Linked DNA regions of Canis lupus familiaris. The protein of the gene in region 1 binds, or shares a complex with, the protein of each later gene. Links are inferred from orthologs where the notes say so. Each region holds a gene or a part of one and is shown on either strand. Other genes may lie near its edges. The genes, in order: NOG, BMP7 and BMP2.

Region 1 (5,166 bases):
AGCCGGCCCACGTGGAGCCGCGCGGAGGGGCGCCGCCGCGCACTGCGGCCGAGGGGCGCACGCGAGTCGAGCGCCCGCCCCGAGAAGTTGGCTCTTCCAGGGGTGGGGTGACGGCGATGTTTTGCACGTCCCTTCGGGCGGCAGCCCACCTCCTGCCCCTCTCTAGCCCCCCAGCTCAAGGGTCCCGATTCTGAGTTCTCCTCCCTCCTCCCCACCCCCAAGTGGAGTCAGTGTCCGGAGCGGGGGGCGCACCCCATTCCCAAATGCGGATTGCCCCCCCTTCCCCGAAATCTTGACCCTCAGTGTCCTCCTTAGGTTCCCGGGGCGGGGTGGGGGTGGGGGTGGGGGTGGGGGAGGCGAATGTCAAATCACCCAGCTATGCCAGCAATTCCGGCCGAGGGCCTGGGGTTTTGGGGGCTCCGACCTGCAAGATTCCGGAGCCTGAGTGTGTGGATTCCAAAGGACTGGATCCCATAGCTAGCATCACCGCAGCTTCCGGGCGTGCAAAGGGTTAACACCGGCTGGTTATTGATGGGGTGGGGGGGGGGAGCGGTGCGAGGCGGGAGGGGTGACGGGATCTGGGTGGGCGCGCTCTGATCTCTCCCACCACCAACCCCCCCCCCCCCCATTCCTCGGGGGTCAAGTTTCAGCGGCACTCCGCCCCCAGGGTAGGTGTGAAAGACACGTGTCCCCATTGTGAAGGGCCTGTCAGGCAGGACAAAGCGGCCGCCCACCCTCCCCCCCCGCCCCTCAGCCCAGCCTGGGGTCAGCTCCAGGGGGCCGGCTGGGTGTCGAGGTCAGGACGGGCCCGAGCTTTGGTGACACAGGGAGAAAAAGCTGGGACACTGGGCAGAGGCCACGTGATGCTCAAGTGAGGGGTTTGAGAATAACCCTCTCCCCCCCCCTCCCACCCACCCCCAGAAGGAAAAACTGAGCGGTCATCTCCATCACACCCCAAGAGGGGATGAGCCCCTTCTCCCAACAGGCGTAGTAAGCACAGCGGCACCCCTACCCACCCCCTCCAGCCCCCACACCCCCCATCAATCACCAACACAGAGAATCGCAGTGTCGAGAGCGCAGTCGATTTTAGTGGTTTTCTTTAATCCTGCTCTGCACTTCTTTCTCATTTACTACACGGGATATTATAAAGAATAAATAGCAGATACTCTTAATTTACAATGATTAGTCATTCCATTTGTTCTCTATATTTACAATAACTGTAAAATAACATTGAACTCTATAGCTTCTTCGAGGTCCAAGGAAAACCAAAACACTTTCCGAAGAATGGAAAATAGCTTTTTAAAAGTCCTTCTACAAAAGTTCTCCCCTCTCTTTTTGTACTTTAAGAAAAAATAACTTTTCCCCCCTGCTTCGCCATGCGAAGGGCACTGGAATATAAATAGCAGGTTAACATTATTAGCGACAACCAGAATAAGTCTCTCTTTGCTCTGTTCTTTTTTTTTTTCCTTTTGCTTATTTTTTTTTTAAAAATACAGTAGAAGCCGGTAACTTTTAACGTATAATACTGACCTTTTAATAAGTAAATTAAAACTGGGACCGTATATACACACACATATACATTCCTACACAGTTAAACAGTGCATTACATGAACCAGAAAGCTAGGTCTCTGTAGCCAGAAAAAAAAAAAAAAAAAAAAAAAGTTCATTGAATCCCCCCCCTCCCCGCCTCGCGAGAGGGTGGTGGAACTGGTTGGAGACGGTGCGGAGGCGGGCGGTGGGGGGGGGGGGGCGTCGGTGGGGTTCCATCCATTGTCCGGGTGCGGGGAGGGGGCCCCGAGTTCTAGCACGAGCACTTGCACTCGGAAATGATGGGGTACTGGATGGGAATCCAGCCGCAGCGCTGGCCCCCGCGCCGCTGACAGCGCCACCGCAGCACCGTGAGGTGCACGGACTTGGACGGCTTGCACACCATGCCCTCGGGCACCGAGCACGAGCGCTTGCTGAAGCAGCTGCCCACCTTCACGTAGCGCGGCCAGAAGCGGCTGCCCAGGTCGTTCCACGCGTACAACACCGGGCAGAAGGTCTGCGACCACAGCCACATCTGTAACTTCCTCCGCAGCTTCTTGCTCAGGCGCTGCTTCTTGCCCGGGGCCAAGCCCTCGGAGAACTCCAGCCCTTTGATCTCGCTCGGCATGGCCCCCGACGGCCGCTGCCGCAGCAGCTGGTCCAGCTCGGCCAGGTCCTCGGCGCCCCCGGCCGCGCCCGCGCCCGCGCCCGCGCCCCCGCCCCCGCCGGGCCGCTCCTCGGGGGGCGAGGTGGCCATGAAGCCCGGGTCGTAGTGGCCCCCGAGCAGCGAGCGCAGCAGCGTCTCGTTCAGATCCTTCTCCTTGGGGTCAAAGATAGGGTCCGGGTGCTCGATGAGGTCCACCAGGGGCAGGTTGTCGCTGGGGGCCGGGCGGATGTGGAGGTAGTGCTGGCCGCCGGCCGGTGCCGCCCGCAGCCCCAGGACCACCACCAGGGCGTAGAGGGTGACCCCCAGGCTGGGGCAGCGCTCCATGCCTCCGGCGCGCCCGGGGCTGCCGCCGCGTCCGCGTCCCCCGAGGAGAGCACTCCCCGGCCCTCCGGAGGCGGCTCACCCGCGGCTGGGCGGGCGCAGGGCCGGCAGCATGAGGCGCCGGGAGAGCCCTTCGCGCGGCGCCGGCTCCCACCGGGGCGGGCGGGAGGCGGCGCACGGGTCGGCCGCGGCTGCTCCGCCGGGTCTACTGGGGCCGGCGGCCGCGGCGGGGCGTCCGCGGGGACTCCAGGGCGCCGGCGGGCGCGGGGGGCGCCGGCTCCTCGCTGCTCCCGGGCGGCGGCGCGGGGCGCGGGGCGCGGGGCGCGGGGCGCGGGCGCGGGCGCGGGGCGCGGGGCCGAGCCGCCCTCCCCTCCTCCTCCTCCTCCGCTCGCCGCGGTCGTCCCGCCGCCCGGGGCAGCGCGGCTGGCGCAGCGGGTCCGGGGCGCGTCCCTCCGCCTGCTCGGGGCTCCGCGGCCGGCTCTGCCAGGCGGACTCCAGCGGCGGCGGCGGCGGCGGCGTCCGCGCACGTTGGCACCGGTTTGTCTGTCTCGCAGGGTCCAAGCCTTTAAATTTCCTGCACTTTCAGCTCCATCACCATGGAAACCACTGACTCTCTCGGCGTTGCCCCCTCCCCCTCCTTCCCCCCAAACAACAACCCCACCCCCCACTTCTCCACCCCCGAGGAGCCGGAGCGGCACAGGCTCCGGGGGAAGCCGCCTGCACTCGCCGCGGCGGCGGCTTCGGCAGCGCCCAGGGCCGTGCCCCGCCGGACCCAGATGCCCCGGGAGGCCGACAGCCCGGCTGCCCGCCGGAGCTCACAGGCGGCGGCGGCGGCGGCGGCGGCGGCGGCGGCGGCGGCGGCGGCGGCGGCGGCAGCGGCGGTGGCGGCGGCGGTGGCGCTTGGCAGGTCTCCGCGCAATTTTCTCTCTCCCCCACCACCCACCCCCCTTCTCCTCCTCCTGCAAAATGCACCGCCCCCCTCCTTTCTCCTGGAGCAATGCAACTGGGGCTCTAGGCGCCCCGCCAGGGCCAGTCCTGGGGAAAGCTCGCGGCGGCGCTGGAGCCGGGCTGGAGGGTGCAGGGCCGGTTGTGGGGGGTGCTCGAGGTGGGGCTGTGAGGGGTCCCGCTAGCTGGGTGCTTTGCACTGGGAGGGCAGCCGCGGGGCGGTGCCGGGGGCTCGTTCCTCGGTGCAGAGTCCGGCGCAAGGAATTTCTCCATGTGCACGGAGCTTTTTCCCCGGGCGCGTCTCGCCTTCCTCTCTCCGGAGCTGGCTCTGAGTCCCCTCCCCCCAGCGCGTACACACACACACACACACACACACACACACACACACACACACACACACTTTGAGCAGGACTCCGAGAGCCGCAGCGTTGCGCAGCGTGATGTAATTCCTAGGAAGCACTCCTGCCCGTCTGTTACTCGGGCCCACGAGGGGGGTCCGCTCCTCGCCCTCCTCCTCCTCCTCCTCCTCCTCCTCCTCCTCCTCCTCCTCCTCCTCCTTGGCCGGGTCCTGCACCCTGAGTGGCCGAGCTGCAGGGGCGCGTCCGGCTCGCCTGCGGCTCCCCTAGCCGGCCGGGTTCCGCGCCGCCGCTGCTCGGCTCCCTGGGGGCGGCGCGCCCTCTGCTGGCGCCCGGCGAGTCCTGCACCTGGCGCTGGCGGGGGCGGCCCCGCGAGGTGGGTTCGCCTGCGGTCCGCCCGGCCCAGCTCCGCTTCTGCTCGCGTGTCCGTGTCATAGTGTGTGCGTGCGCGCGCGCGCTGCGGGGGCCTGGACTGCTCGGGTCTGTGCTCTCCAAGCTTTCCAGGCCCTCGGTGTAAACGAACTTCCTGAGATTCCTCCAGACGCCCCTCAAATGTCACAAGACTATAGGGCACCCTCTGTCTGCGGCCGCTAAATCGGCCTCAGTGGGCGAGAGCGGAGACCTAAAACTTAAGAAAGGTGACCTGGCAGCAGGGGGATCTGAGTCCTGGCTGCGGTCTGCCCCCCTATGTTAACCTCGGACAAGCCCCTTTTGTGGCACCATGTTCCTTTACTTTCTGCATTTAGTGACACCACTACATTCCTCTTCCAGCCCTACCTTTCCATGATCCTAAATAAACTTGCATGGTGCTTTCTGTTTGCAAAGGGGTGTCTCTTTGATGGGAGAGGGATGTTGAAATGACACTTCTAGTTAATTTCCCCTTGGATGAGGACCTGAATCTAAGCTTTGAAACTCAAACTTGGTTTCCTTTGTGGTGGATGCGATTGGAGTCTGGAGAAAGCTGGAGAAGAAGGAGTTGGAGAAGAGGAAGCCAGTAATCACCAGCAGCACTCCATGGAGTGGGCTTAGGAGGTCTCACTTCTAGTGACAGCCTAAATCACTCTACTTTCTTTCCCCAGAGATCTGTTTCTTCCTTTTAACCTGTGTTGTCTGTGCCCCCCCCCACCCCTGCCCATGAATTTATCATCTGCCTAAGGAAGTAAACACACTGTGTTTCACAGGAGAGTCTTTCCAAAAAACCTCAGCTGTTGGGAGGGATGGGCCAGTCTCAGCTGAAAACATTTTCTTAAACATTCTCAAATTTTCAAGCCTGCAAACACACACACACACACACACACACACACACACACACACAATGACATGGGGATACTGGACACAATAACAACCCAA
Region 2 (6,026 bases), on another chromosome or scaffold:
TGGATGATGGGTGTTTCACTTCTTCCAAACATTGGGTTTGGAAAAAACAGTCATTTACTCCAAATGGTTAAAGAGTGTGTGTAGGAATGAAGTTTGTGTATAGTTTTAACTTTCCCTGGCAGGTGGGCTGGAAGGATAATAATCAGCAGCTTGTTGCTATGAGCTAAGAGGTGTGCTAAACTGATGGGAATGTGCACGGCTGTCCCTGGAGGCACTTCCTCCTCACTCTGCAGATGAGCATCTCAAGGTCTAGGAGAACCAGGGTCTGACTCCAGAGCTGGAGCAGCACCCCCTTACCTGGCCAGACCCCACCTGGGAGCTGGTGTGCTCTGGAGTCTACAGCTGGGCTCCAGCTGACTATCAGCCCCACACTGGGAGGCACCTTTCCAAGTAGGACCCACTGCGTGGTTTGGCTACAAGTCTTAGAAATACCAGTCAGGTGGCTCCAACCACTAGAAAAGCCATTGGCTCACAGTGACGGGGTTGGGTGGACATGAGGGTAGGTTGATCCAGAAAGTCAACAACAGTGAAAGCTTTCAACAGTGAAGGCTTTCTGTCCTTGCTCACCACGTTCAGGCTATGGCTGTAGGTAGTCATCAGGCTCTACTGCTTTTCTATTCCCAGGCAATAGGGGAAAGAGATGAGCATCTTTTCCCATGAGCCTTTCTTAGGAATAAAGAAACTTATTCCGGAAGCCCCCAGCATGCTTTCACCCATGTCCTGTTGGCTTGGATTGTGTCATTTGTTCTTTTTGTTGTTGTTGTTCTTATCTGAACCAATCCTCGCTCTAAGGATAACATATGGGCTGGTGAGCTCAGACCTGGGTTCTGAACTAGTCACTGACAATGGCTGGGGTTGCCATGACCCCCCAGGCCCAAGGAGGGCCACTCACCTGGCCATCTGAGAGAGCTGACCAGGCAGGGGGATCTGGGTGCATCTGGATGCCTCCCAAGTGCAAGTCAGGTAGGCAAGCAACCCTGGTTCATTTCCTTGGCTTTCCTCTTCATCCTGCAAAGAGTTGTCCTTGTGTTCCTCACCCACTGGTGTTCATTACCTTCTGGGATGCTTGAGCCTGGAGGGATCACAGCAGGGCACAGAAGCTGAGGCATTGACGTCTCCTGTATTTGTGTGTTAACTACACAAATACTGGTGGACACTGGGCCTTGGGGATCCAATGGTAACCTCCCAAAACCTTTTAGAAGAGGCAACATTTGAGGTGAGGCTTGAATATCCAGTAGAGCCAGACATACAAAGATTACGAGAAGGAGCATTTCAGGTAGATGAAACAGCAAGTGCAAAAGCCCTGATAGGAACAGACTTGACAGTACATTCACAGCACAGAAAGAAGGCTGTGGCCACATAGGGGCTTACAGGCCAAGGGCAGGAGTTGGGACATTGCTCTAAGCATGATAGAAAGCCCCTAGAAAGTTTTAGGTGGAGGAAAGACAAGTCATGAGTAAGGAAAAAAAAACCATCCCCATAACCCCATAGCTACAGGGTAGAAGACGGTGCAGGAGCACCAGAGTATGTGTGTGTGTGCGTCTGTCTGTCTCTGTGTGTGTCTGTGTGAGAGTGACAGAGAGACGAAGGGCAGAGCTTTCTACATGTTTACAAGTGCTCAAGCCCTAACGCAGATGCCTGCGAACCTTACATACTTCTGGAAAACCCCAGTCATAGTTTTCACTCCTCAGAAAAACCTAAGTAGTGTGTTTCTCTGGGAGGTCAATGGGATGTGAGTTTCTGCATTTCTTCCTGGCAGTGGGGTCTTTGTCCCAGGCCCTGGCTGTGCCCCTTTTGCCCTTTGAAAGAGGGGTGAGCATCGTGAGGTGGGCTGGCCTCAGCAGCTGAGGGCAGACCCCTCTGAGCAGGCTTCTGCAGCCAGCATGGTGGCACGTGGCTATAGTTTGGTTCCTATGTGGAACCCAGGCAGAGGTCAGCCTCCAAACAACGCACATGTACAAAAAAAGCCAATGTCCACAGAAGGATCCAGAGCATACTAGGAGCTAACATGGCGCAAGAGGGATGGGGACGTTGGTGCAGAGGCCATTTGCTAAGGATGGAAATGAGTTTCAAGGCTATAGGAACTGGAATGGCTTTCATGTCAGGAAGGTCACATTCTAGCTGAGTTCAACCGTGCTCACACCACTGCCTTAGATGGAGGGAACCTTAATATGTGTGTGTGTTTTCTCTCCCCCGTGCCTCTGTCTCCCACCAATGCAGAAAACAGCAGCAGCGACCAGAGGCAGGCCTGCAAGAAGCACGAACTGTACGTCAGCTTCCGCGATCTGGGCTGGCAGGTAAGGACGGGTGGCCGGATCTGCCCCGATGGTGGGGGCTCTGGTGTGGGCTTCCTCGTGCCCCCCGCCCAAGGCAGTGGGGCTGGGTCCCATGTGTGCACTGAGTCACGTTTCTCATCTACTTCAGTTCGGACTCCAGTGTCAGGTGTCCTAACTAGGGTAGAGAATTGAGGTTAAGGATGCAGGGATGCCTCATGACACCCAGGAGCAGAAATGTGGTGGAGACTCATGCTAGAACCAGGAGCCCAAACACTTTGAACCCTAAGCCCCATGCTACATGTGAACTTCCATCTCCACCCTGCGGCTGGCTACTTCTCTCAGGTGGGGCCCATGCCCTAGAACTCAGCTGCTGCAGGGCCGGCTCCCACCCTCCACCCTGTCTGTCCCTCCTTCCCTTCCATGATTCAGATCCCAGGGCAGGGACTGATTGGCCTACCTGGGGTCAGGGGCTTGATCCTGAACCAGTCAGCTGTTTTGGGGATGGGATCATATCATAGGACCATGACTGCTCCTTCCAGAACCATTTGGATGGAATGGGGCGAAGGGCAAGAGTGAATCCTGGGACAGGCATGAGGGTCATACAGTCTAATGACTATTTAGGATTATCTGACATTCCGGCTGCTGTTCCAGGCGCTGGAGGTGCCACAGGGAGCATTACCGTGTGCCTGCCCTCGTGGAGCTCAAATAGTCCTAATGGGGTGTTGAGATCACCAAGGCCACTGGTCTTGTTGTTCACTCCTCATTGAGCTTGTGGTTCAGCGAGGGAGTCCAGATGCTTCCCTGGGGATCATGCCCAAGCGCACTATCAGAGCACTTGCGCTCGGGCAGCGTGGAGCCCTCCCGCTGTGCTGACCTCACACTCACGGCTCCCGTGCTTGCATCCTGGTGCTGGAACTGAGCCCCAGACTCCAGCTCCTCTGCGGGAAGAGTCCATGGACTTGAGTCAGGGAGGGGTGGACAGAGTGCTAGAGCAGTATTCCGGTGCTAACCCAGCCCTGACGGCAGACGTGGCCGTGTGCATCCTCCACCGAGCCGCACACGTGCACCAGCGCTGAGCTGGCTCGTCTACATGGGCGCTTAATTCTCGATGTTGTGGGTTATTAGTCTTTCTCCCACGTCCGTGAACTGAGGGGTGGAGCTTTTGTTTGAAGCAAACTGCCAACGCGTAACCACCTAGTAGCGCTGGAGTCGAAGCCACCCTGGTCACACTGGTCTGTGCCGCCTCCCCATAAGGCCCTGCAGGTGTCTCTTCTGGGCCTAGCCCAGCCCAGCCCAGCCCCAGGGTGGTCTTTCCTTCATTTTGCATTCTGTGGGGGACCATGGAAGGGGGTCCTCCATTTCTCATGCTTCTGCAGGACACTCCCCACCCTTGCCGGGATGGTGTGGGCCGGGTCTTTGTCCTCTGTCCTCTGGGAGCACGAGTCTGGGCCGCAGGGTAGGTGGGGGCTTGGGCACGAAGGGTAGGCCCTTGTGGGGCTCACGCTCTGTCCCCTGCAGGACTGGATCATCGCTCCCGAAGGCTATGCCGCTTACTACTGTGAGGGGGAGTGTGCCTTCCCCCTGAACTCCTACATGAACGCCACCAACCACGCCATCGTGCAGACGCTGGTGAGTGGGGCCTGCGTGCCGTCTGGGCATGCTCCGCTCGGTGGGGTGACGGCAGGGTCTGGTGGCCCTGCCCAGCTGCTCCTCCAGGCTGGGGCCCTGACTTTCCGCGGGCCCTGGGCACTCCTCCTGTCATAGGCCCCTTCCTCCGTTAAAAAAAAAAAAGAGAGATTAAAGATGTTATTTTACAACAGCATTGGCATAAAGATATGTATCATCCCCGACCCTCAAGTTCATGTATTTCTCCCCATTCTGGAAGAAATAAGCACAGTTTCAGGGGCTCCCAAAGGTGTCTTGGATAATGGTCACTGTGGCTAATGGTGAGGTCAGTCCTGGCCCTGCCTCTCTGGGCGGCTGTTCTTAGTTGACCACACATCTGCTCCGCCCCCATAGGTGCCCCCGCATCCCCGAGAGTCGGGGCGTCCCTGGGTTCAGACCAGCCTGAGAGCCTGTCCACTCCCCAAACTCATGTCTTTGCCTCCTAGCCTTAAACTTTGGGGGGTCAGCCACCCAAGGGTGTCTGCTGAGCATCTTCTGCAGGTAAACCTGCCCTGGGAGCTGAGGGCATTGCAGGGAACAGCACAGACCTGGTCCCTGCCTTCAGGGCCTCAGTTTCCAGGGAGAGAAGCAATCAGGTGAACAGAGGATGCGGGAGAGGAGTAAGCAGGACAGCGAGGTGGGGCAGGGCGGGGGCTGTTTCAGGTCGAACTTCCATGGGGTCACTGGAGGGTTCAGTGTGATAAGAAGATAGGCTTTTAACAGGATGCACAGCCCTGGCGACCCTTGGTAGAAGTGGTTTTTACTACTCTACCGAAAATATCAGTTGTAATAAAAATTAGGGACTTGGCTCTTCTCCTTAGAATCTGAGGCTCAGGGATCTTGATTATCTAGCTCCCTGCCAGGAACATTATTGAGGCCTTTCCCTGGCTTGAATGCTCCTGGTGACAGAGAGCTCATTACCCAGGGCCATCCCCTCAGTCCTACAGTTCTGTTTGTTCTGAAACTTTTTTGGCTTCTTTTAAAGGTTTAGTGGTAGAGTTGGTACTGACCCACGTGTTATGTCTTGGAGAAAAAGCTCCCCTGTTCCTTTCATTTGGACCATGCTCTGCCCTTCCGAGGGAAGGCTTCTTTTTTAGCCATGCTTTTCCAAGGCCCTTCCTTGGAAAGGAAGGTAAATTCTGAAGCCCTGCTCAGGATTGAAATGAATAATGCCCCCAACCTGTTCCTTGGGCCAGGCCTGTTCCCCTGTGCCCGCATGCCCCCTCAGGCCCTGCCTTGGTGGCCCCTGGGGGGTGCCAGGGGGGTCTCCCAGGCTACCAGGGCACACCTCTACCCTCCGACCCCTGCTTCATGGCCCATGTAGCGGGAGCCTGGCTGTCCCCTGATCACCTACTTAGTCTGCGTGTCACAAGAGAGCCCTGGGATCAGAACGGGAGTTCTGATTATTCTGAAAAAGAAGTTCTGTGGTCATGTTTAAAAAGGGGGAAGGGAAGAAAAAATAAAATAAGGTAAAAATTGAGAGGGAGACAAACCATAAGAGATGCCGAGCTCTAGGAAACAAACTGAGGGCCGCTGGAGGGGAGGGTGGTGGGCGGCTGGGGTAACTGGGGGACGGGCATTAAGGAGGGCAGGTGATGTGATGAGCACTGGGTGTTGTTTGCACCTGATGAATCACAAAATTCTACCTCTGAAACAACAACAACAAAAAAGCTGATGGGGGTGGGAATCCTTGCCTGCTGGGAGTCCTGGTGAAAAACAGAGGAAATGAGCTGATGTCTGGGATTTGCTTTCAAATTATTCAAGGGTGGAGGAGGCGGTATAGATTTGTAAGGTCTGAAACAGTCCGTAATAAAAAGCTAAAACATGTGCTGGCTTATCTCAGAGGTCACAGGCTAGAGGCTGCCACAGAGTGCTTTCAGTTGGCACACGTTGTGCGTCGGAAACCTGGAAGTTTCACATAAAAATTCAGCAGAACTAGGTCTCTGGCCTGTCCTGGCCACTCGGCACAGCCAACCGCACTGCCTTTGCTTGGCCGCGGTCAGCGGCAGCAGCTGCCCTCCGGGTCGCCCCAACCCCCACTATTCCCTCTTGTTTTATTCCTCACCTGCCTTGCGCACCCAGGGG
Region 3 (6,702 bases), on another chromosome or scaffold:
TTATGTTTTTAGAATTCTGCAACCCTCTTTGAACCAAAAGTGTCCATTAAGACAATAACCACAGAGCACCTGGGTGGCTCAGTGGTCGAGTGCCTGCCTTCGGCTTAGGTCATGATTCCAGGGTCCTGGGATTGAGTCCCACTGGACCTCCCAACTCCATTTCAGGGAGCCTGCTTCTCCCTCTGCCTGTGTCTCTGCCTCTCTCTCTCTCTCTCTCTCTCTCTCTCTGTCTCTCATGAATAAATAAAGTCTTTTAAAAAATAAATAAATACATAAGACAACTACCACTACCGAGCAGATGCCGTAGCCAACCAGTAAAACTGGATGTCACTGCCCTGAAATGAATGGAAAGTGCCTGAGAATAAGAAACAATATTTTCTAGAATATAAAATAATGGCTAGAGAATTAATATTACCAGGGAGAAAAAATATAAAATTAAAAGGTTACAAGGAAACAGTTTTTTATTTTTTTAAATAAAAAACAACAAAAGGCAACTGAAGGAACAGTACTGTCATCCTCAAGAACCCTGATCTGGCTTCTGCCCACCCTTAACTCCAACACCTTTGGAACGATCATGTGCCCGTTTACTGTCCTTTTACTACTTAGTGAAATACACAAAGGGCAAGTCTCAAAGAAGACAAGATAGCTCAATGAGAAGGGATTAAGGAAGGAGACAGAGGAACGGCCAAAAGAGTAGAGAACAGATAATATTAGTCCAAGAACAATCGTTGAGCATCAGAGCCTCGACCCCCAAAGACTTCCAAAGAGAATGCCTGTTTTACTTGCTGGGACCCTTCTCAGTGACACTGAACGACCCGGGGATACTAGGGAAGCACATCAAGTAAATACTGCTTTGGGGGGGTGCCTGTGTCCAAATCCTTTGCTTACACTGGGCATTTGTGATACAAGTTCTCTCTCCCAGGGCATCAGTTGCTTCTTGAACTCTCCCATTATACGGATATTTTCGTGGTAATTACATTTGTGGGAAAAGGGTTATTTTCTATTCAAAGGCTTTAGTCAGGGAGGCAAATAATTCCATTGTTCATTAAAACGAAGACTGTGTCCTTCAGAGTCTGGAGAGCAAACAGATGGTCCTTCTATATTCTACTCTGACAGGAGAACATAAAGGCTTTTTGCAGGGCCGGTGAAGTCAACCAATTTCAAGGTGTTTTTCAGTACAGCAAAGCACAGAACACTCCTTCCAGGAGGAGGAGTGATTTTTCTTTCCTCAGTGGCAGCTGCGAAAGGTCTATGTGCGGCCAAAGAACTTTTTAATGACTGGAGGAAGAAAACTGTTGGAGTACTTGGGTTCTCCTAAGGGACAAGTACTGTCCAGAAGACTAGACAAAGTTTAATAGGAGAAATGACAACCGATCATTCTGTTTCAGATCACCTACCATGCGGTCCCATTATCTTCACACAGTGGTTGATTATCTGATAACCATGGTATCTCTGGTCTTGTAATTTCACCAAATCACCCAGATTCCACCCACAAATGAAACCAACAACAGGTAATTCTTGGAATCAGGCCCTTAGTTCTCTACCAAACACATGCCCATTAAGGCTGCAGGAGCCAAGTTCTGGTCTTAAGCTAGCTGCCTTAATCACATGATTTATTAAAAGATTTTTAGTGCCATGCATGGCACAAGGATCTTTATAAAAAGCAAATCCTGGGTTACACAAAAATGAAACGGTCTTCAAAATATGCATGATGTGGCCTAAGAATGATATGCTAGTCATAACAAGAACAGAAATGGATGTGATGAAATTTGAGGCAAAAATTACATGGCTTTTTCTATCATCTAACTGCACTGAGATCTGACGTTACTGTAAGTTGACTTTAAGCAGGTTGATAATTTCTCTACTGCTCTGCACATAACTTTCATACTTTTAAAGTTATAAATTCTGACTTATAAACTCAAGCACGCTATTTAGGTTAAAATAACACACTCAAATAATTTGTAGCCTGTTTAGTTTTGATCAAGCCACTCCTAGAGGAAAGAGAAATACACAGACTCCACTGACGGGATCCTCATGCAGCTGAATGTTTTAGGTGTCAGACGACTTAAGTGTTCCTCCTTTAAGTTATGAGAGACACACAGTACCTTCCTAGCCTTTAAAATAATTAAGAGTGGTTCCAGGCTAAATTTCCAGGAGAGGTGGCTGAAATAGCTGCTCTTGCTACTTTTCTATCCAGAAAAATAATTCTTATCAGCATCAGCTGGGAATGATGAGCTGCATCTACTACAATCATTCCAAGATTATGTTGACAGAGCATATAGGAGTGAAAACATTTCTACATATGACAACAGACAACTTCTGCTTCTCAGCGAACGAATCCTGAAGGAGTAGAAGGATGCCTTCTGTGCTTTCTCATGGGAGCTCTACTGCAAAAAAGCACCTCACTTGGAAATGTGCTGGAAAATGATGGATTACGATCAATGGGTTATCAATCCCGTGTCCCTTCACAGTGTACAACTGCTTTGATGAAGAAGTACCTTTGGTTACGCCACCTGCCTTTAGGACTTCTTCCCAACACTAAGTGCTGTTCTCACAAGTGTAGTCACCCTTCACACTGAGAGAAAATAGGTAGCTGTAACAGTTCTTATTTGTTTATGTTAGAGAATAGATTTCTGCCTGAAATTTACCACCTCGAAGCAAGGCAAGAAAATGGGAACTTCACTCCCGATTCCCCAATAATCTACAAGTGACTGCTCTGTGATACACAGCTTTGGAGATTTCTCTAGAACTTGATGAAACCCGTGCTCTATTTGGAATGCATTAAGCCAAAAGGGTATTTAAAAGTGTAGAAAAAGAACTAAAGTGGAACATAAAATTTTTGACTAATTGATCCAAGAACTTGGGTACAACAGATGTCAATAGCTTCTCTTGGACATTTCAAATCCACTAAATGCTGTTCTAATGAAACAAGCAGAAATAGCGTACCTTAGGAAAACCACATCCAGTATCATAAAAGAAAAAAAAAAAATCCACATTTCAATGCACATGGAGAAAAAAAAAAAAAGAACCATCAGGCAGCTGCTGCAAAAGCTTTTATCTGAAGGCTTGCCTTGTCTCTAAGAGGGAGTTCATCTCAGATTTAAGCACAAAACAAGAAAGTCATTGTGGAAACAATAAGATTGATTGTGGGATTGATCTCTCACGGGGATTAGATAGGGATTCGAAATCTTCCAAACCAGGCCCAGATCAACTGTAAATTAGAAAGACTTTGGGGCCCCTGGCTTTGATTCTTCAATAGTATCTCTGAAAAGTCTGTCCTTGGCTGTGTCTAGCCTGAAACCCCAGCTGAAGCAGGAGAAACAGATTTACAGGGCAAAAGGGCTTCCAAACAGACATAAAGAGATCCCAATCTGCCCCCCTCCTTTTCATTCTTCCCCTATGAAATTCTTGCACATTTAGCTGACTAGGGGCATGCCTTTTGCCCTCATCTTCCCCATCACTTGATTTCTCTCCAGTTCCTGGAGGAGGAGTCGCTCTCCTGGCTGCAGGCCAGGAAAAGGGTGCAGATTGACCAAAGGGGAATCCCTGGCTCCCTCGCCACACAGGCAGCGCGGTAAAGCCAGGTTCGGTTCGGAAAGGTTCTTACAAAGGCAAGAACTGCCTTCCCAGGGATGCCAACAGTCGGCCCACAGTGGGGAGCTTCTGGAGGGGACTCTCCGCGCGCATCTCGGCCCCCACGCTCTGCTCCACGCCTCACCTTCGTGGTGGAAGCTGCGCACGGTGTTGGCCAGGCTGGCTGCCCTCTCCAGCCGGTGGTCCGGGGCCGGTGCGCCCGGCTGGCCCGAGTGCCGGCGGTACAGGTCCAGCATGTAGGGGGGCACCACGGCGTCCCTGCTGGGGGTGGGTCTCCGCTTCAGGCCGAACATGCTGAGCAGCCGCAACTCGAACTCGCTCAGGACTTCGTCCGAGGGCTGGGACGGGGAGCGGCCAGGAGATGCCGCGAACTTCCTCCGGCCCAGCTCCGTAATGAGACCGGCCGCGCCGCCCAGGAGGACCTGGGGAAGCAGCAACGCTAGAAGACAGCGGGTCCCGGCCACCATGGTCGACCTGCGGACAGGGCCGACGTGAGTCACCGAGTTCCCCGCCCAATCCTCTCCCCGCCCTCGCGTCCCGGGGCTCCCGCTCCGGCCGCTGCCTCCCCCTCCAGGGTGCCCACCTGGTGTGCAATACTCGCGGGGATACTTCAAAGGTCTTAAGCTCGAACGTTTGGGAGAATGGAAAGCCCCTAGTTCCTGAGCCTGAAGGCTCCCCCCCCTTCCAACTCACTCTCATCCATCCGGCACGATTTGCGCGCGCGCGCGCACACACACACACACACCCCACCAGCGTCAAGACTGTCACCTTTCTTCTGTGACACTCGCGCTGACAGCCCGTGCAGGGAACCTGGGGAAACCACCGCTTGGTCTGACACCTCCCGGATCGCTAAACAAACCCAAACACATTGCCCAGCGCTGGCTTGCATATAAACACGCACGGATGGTGCATGTGACTTCCTTACAGGCACCGTATAGAACTTCCTGATACACACATACACTCACACTCTCTCTCGCTCCCGCCCTCCCGCCCTCCCTCTGACTTCCAGACCCAGTAAACTCAGGGCCACAACTTCCGAAGCCACTTGCAACTTGTGGCCCACGCCTTTAACCTCAGAGGTGTCAGGACAGGGCCACCCCAGCCCCGAACCCCCGCCCCATGCAGTCCAGACACACATACATATTCCTCCAGTTACATAAATAATACCTATTCGGTCACGTGTCACCAGAAGGTGGCATTTAAGTACTGCCCCCCTCGCATTCCTGGCAACAAACAGGGAGAACCCCAACTTCTAGTATTTTCCTAAATGGGACTTGGCTCTGAGTAGAGAGCAGGTCTCCCTGAGAAACTTGAAGAAGGGAGAGAAGATGGCCATGGCAGGGCGCAAAGGTTGGCGACTAACGGGTGAAATCCAGAGGCCACCCTCTAGATTGGGCTTCTTCGAGGTTTTTTTTTTTTTTTTTTTTAATCATCTAAGTGTTAACAGCCCTAATAAAATACTGAGAAGAGAGAAGGGAGGAGGGGCGGAAGAGCGCGAGCCGGGAGGGCCAGGCTCGCCGGGGCGGTCTGGTGGGGGCATCGCCGCAGGGGCTCGGCAGCACGTGGACCCGGAGGGGGTCTGTTTACGTCCGCCCGGCCCGGCCCGGCCCCAGGAGCCGCTCGCCCTCGGCGGCCGCCCGCGCCCCGCGCCCCGCCCCTACCCCCTACCCCGTACCCCCACCCCAGCCCGGGGCCCTCGTCCCCTACCTTTAGGAGACCGCCGACCGTCTAAGAAGCACGCGGGGGCACGTCCATTGAAAGAGCCTCCACATGGAAAAAGCTCTGGTCCAAGGACCTGGCGCAGGGACCCGGTTCCCTCGGGCCGCCGCCGCCGCCGCCGCCGCCGCCTCCTCCCGCCGCCGGGCACCGCGGCCCCGGGTCTGGCCCCGCGGAGCAGTGGGGCGGCGCGGGCGCGGGGTCCGGGCGCGGGGTCCGGGCGCGGGGTCCGGGCGGCGAGGCCGGCTCCGCAGGGGCCAAGGCACCGGCGCGAAGCGGGAGCGCAAGCTATTCTCCCTGCAAGTTCAACAAGTCTCCAGCCAAGTGCTGACACACAACAACAGCGAGCAGGGGGAGGAGGACGGGGCAGGCGAGGGAAGGGACAGGGCAGAAGCCGGTGCGTCGTCGTCCTCAGGCACCGGCGCCCGCGGGACGCGGGGCCCGGCGCGGGGGCCGAGGGTCGGGCGCTCCCTCCGCGCTAGCGCCGCCGCGGCCCGTGGCTCGGGGCGGCCATCCTGGGCGACGCCGGGTGCGGGGAAGGGCGCAGCGGCGGTCTCGGGGCCGGGCGGGGGGCGCCCCCGCATCACTCGGCCTCGCTCCAGCGCAGCCCCGCCGGCGCCCGCCGGCCGATCGCCCCGCGGCTCCGGCGCCCCGGCGTCCTCGGGCGCATTCTCCGGCGAGGCGAGGCGAGGCGAGGCGAGGCGAGGCGGCGAGGCGGGTCCCGGGCGGCCGAGGCGCGCGGCCGCGCTCTCCCCTCGCGGCAGCCCCCGGGCCAGACTGCGCTGCGCTCCGGGGCCGGCCCGGGGTCCGCTCACGCGTCGGCCGGCGCGTCGCGGGCCCCCACGCTCGGGCGGCGCGGGCTCGGCATCGCGGCGCTCGGGCTGGGCTCGCGGCTGCGCGGCGCCGTGCGCGCGGCTCCCCGGCTCCGGCGCGGCCCGGGCGGCCGAGGCCACGGCGCAGGGGCGCGCTCGGCCGGGCGCTCCAGCCCGCGCGGGGTGAGCGGCGCGCGGCGGCGGCGGCGGCGGCGGCGGCGGCGGCGGCGGCGGAGCAGCCCCCGTAGTCCGCGACGCGCTGGCCGCGAGGTCGGCGGGTCGCGGCGCAGCCTGCGGCGGCGGGCGTCCGGCGGCGGCTGCCAGTCCCCGGCGGGGTGTGGGAAGCGGAGCGGCGGGCGCAGCGCGAGCCGGGCGCAGGCGGCGGGGCGAGGACTCCGGCGGCGGCGCCGTGGCGCGGCGCTCGCGGCTTTTAAAGGGGACGCAGCCTGCCTGCAGCCTCCGTCTCCGCGGAGGCCGGACACCTCCCCCTCGGCGGCGCGGCTCGCCGGGGATCCCCGAGCGGGCGGGAGCCGGAGCGGGAGCGGGAGCGGGAGCGGGAGCGGCGCGCAGGGGTGTGGAC

What was found.
Region 2: the proteins of NOG (region 1) and BMP7 are in contact, whole or in part, in a crystal structure (PDB 1M4U), measured with the Homo sapiens proteins. The link is inferred for Canis lupus familiaris from reciprocal best matches to the Homo sapiens genes NOG and BMP7. Residues at the interface, in NP_005441.1 of Homo sapiens: His29, Tyr30, Leu31, His32, Ile33, Arg34, Pro35, Ala36; in NP_001710.1 of Homo sapiens: Phe365, Pro366, Leu367, Asn368, Ser369, Asn375, Ile378, Val379.
Region 3: the proteins of NOG (region 1) and BMP2 are in contact, whole or in part, in a crystal structure (PDB 7AG0), measured with the Homo sapiens proteins. The link is inferred for Canis lupus familiaris from reciprocal best matches to the Homo sapiens genes NOG and BMP2. Residues at the interface, in NP_005441.1 of Homo sapiens: Ile33, Arg34, Pro35, Ala36, Pro37, Ser38, Asp39, Asn40, Pro42, Leu43, Val44, Asp45, Leu46, Ile47, His49, His199, Arg204, Arg206, Pro219, Ile220, Gln221, Tyr222, Pro223; in NP_001191.1 of Homo sapiens: Trp310, Asp312, Trp313, Val315, Ala316, Pro317, Pro318, Gly319, Tyr320, Ala368, Ile369, Ser370, Met371, Leu372, Tyr373, Lys379, Val380, Val381, Leu382, Lys383, Asn384, Tyr385, Gln386, Met388.

What each region holds. Positions count from the first base shown.
Region 1 is NC_049230.1:31,413,419-31,418,584, reverse strand, and holds NOG (noggin), read right to left. Parts: upstream 2,604-5,166; 5' UTR 2,519-2,603; coding exon 1,802-2,518; 3' UTR 1,752-1,801; downstream 1-1,751. UniProt on the Homo sapiens protein: Inhibitor of bone morphogenetic proteins (BMP) signaling which is required for growth and patterning of the neural tube and somite. Essential for cartilage morphogenesis and joint formation.
Region 2 is NC_049245.1:42,954,453-42,960,478, reverse strand, and holds part of BMP7 (bone morphogenetic protein 7 precursor), read left to right. Parts: intron 1-2,220; coding exon 2,221-2,297; intron 2,298-3,794; coding exon 3,795-3,905; intron 3,906-6,026. UniProt on the Homo sapiens protein: Growth factor of the TGF-beta superfamily that plays important role in various biological processes, including embryogenesis, hematopoiesis, neurogenesis and skeletal morphogenesis.
Region 3 is NC_049245.1:15,656,613-15,663,314, forward strand, and holds the start of BMP2 (bone morphogenetic protein 2), read right to left. Parts: upstream 4,539-6,702; 5' UTR 4,464-4,538; coding exon 4,363-4,463; intron 4,069-4,362; coding exon 3,719-4,068; intron 1-3,718. UniProt on the Homo sapiens protein: Growth factor of the TGF-beta superfamily that plays essential roles in many developmental processes, including cardiogenesis, neurogenesis, and osteogenesis. Induces cartilage and bone formation.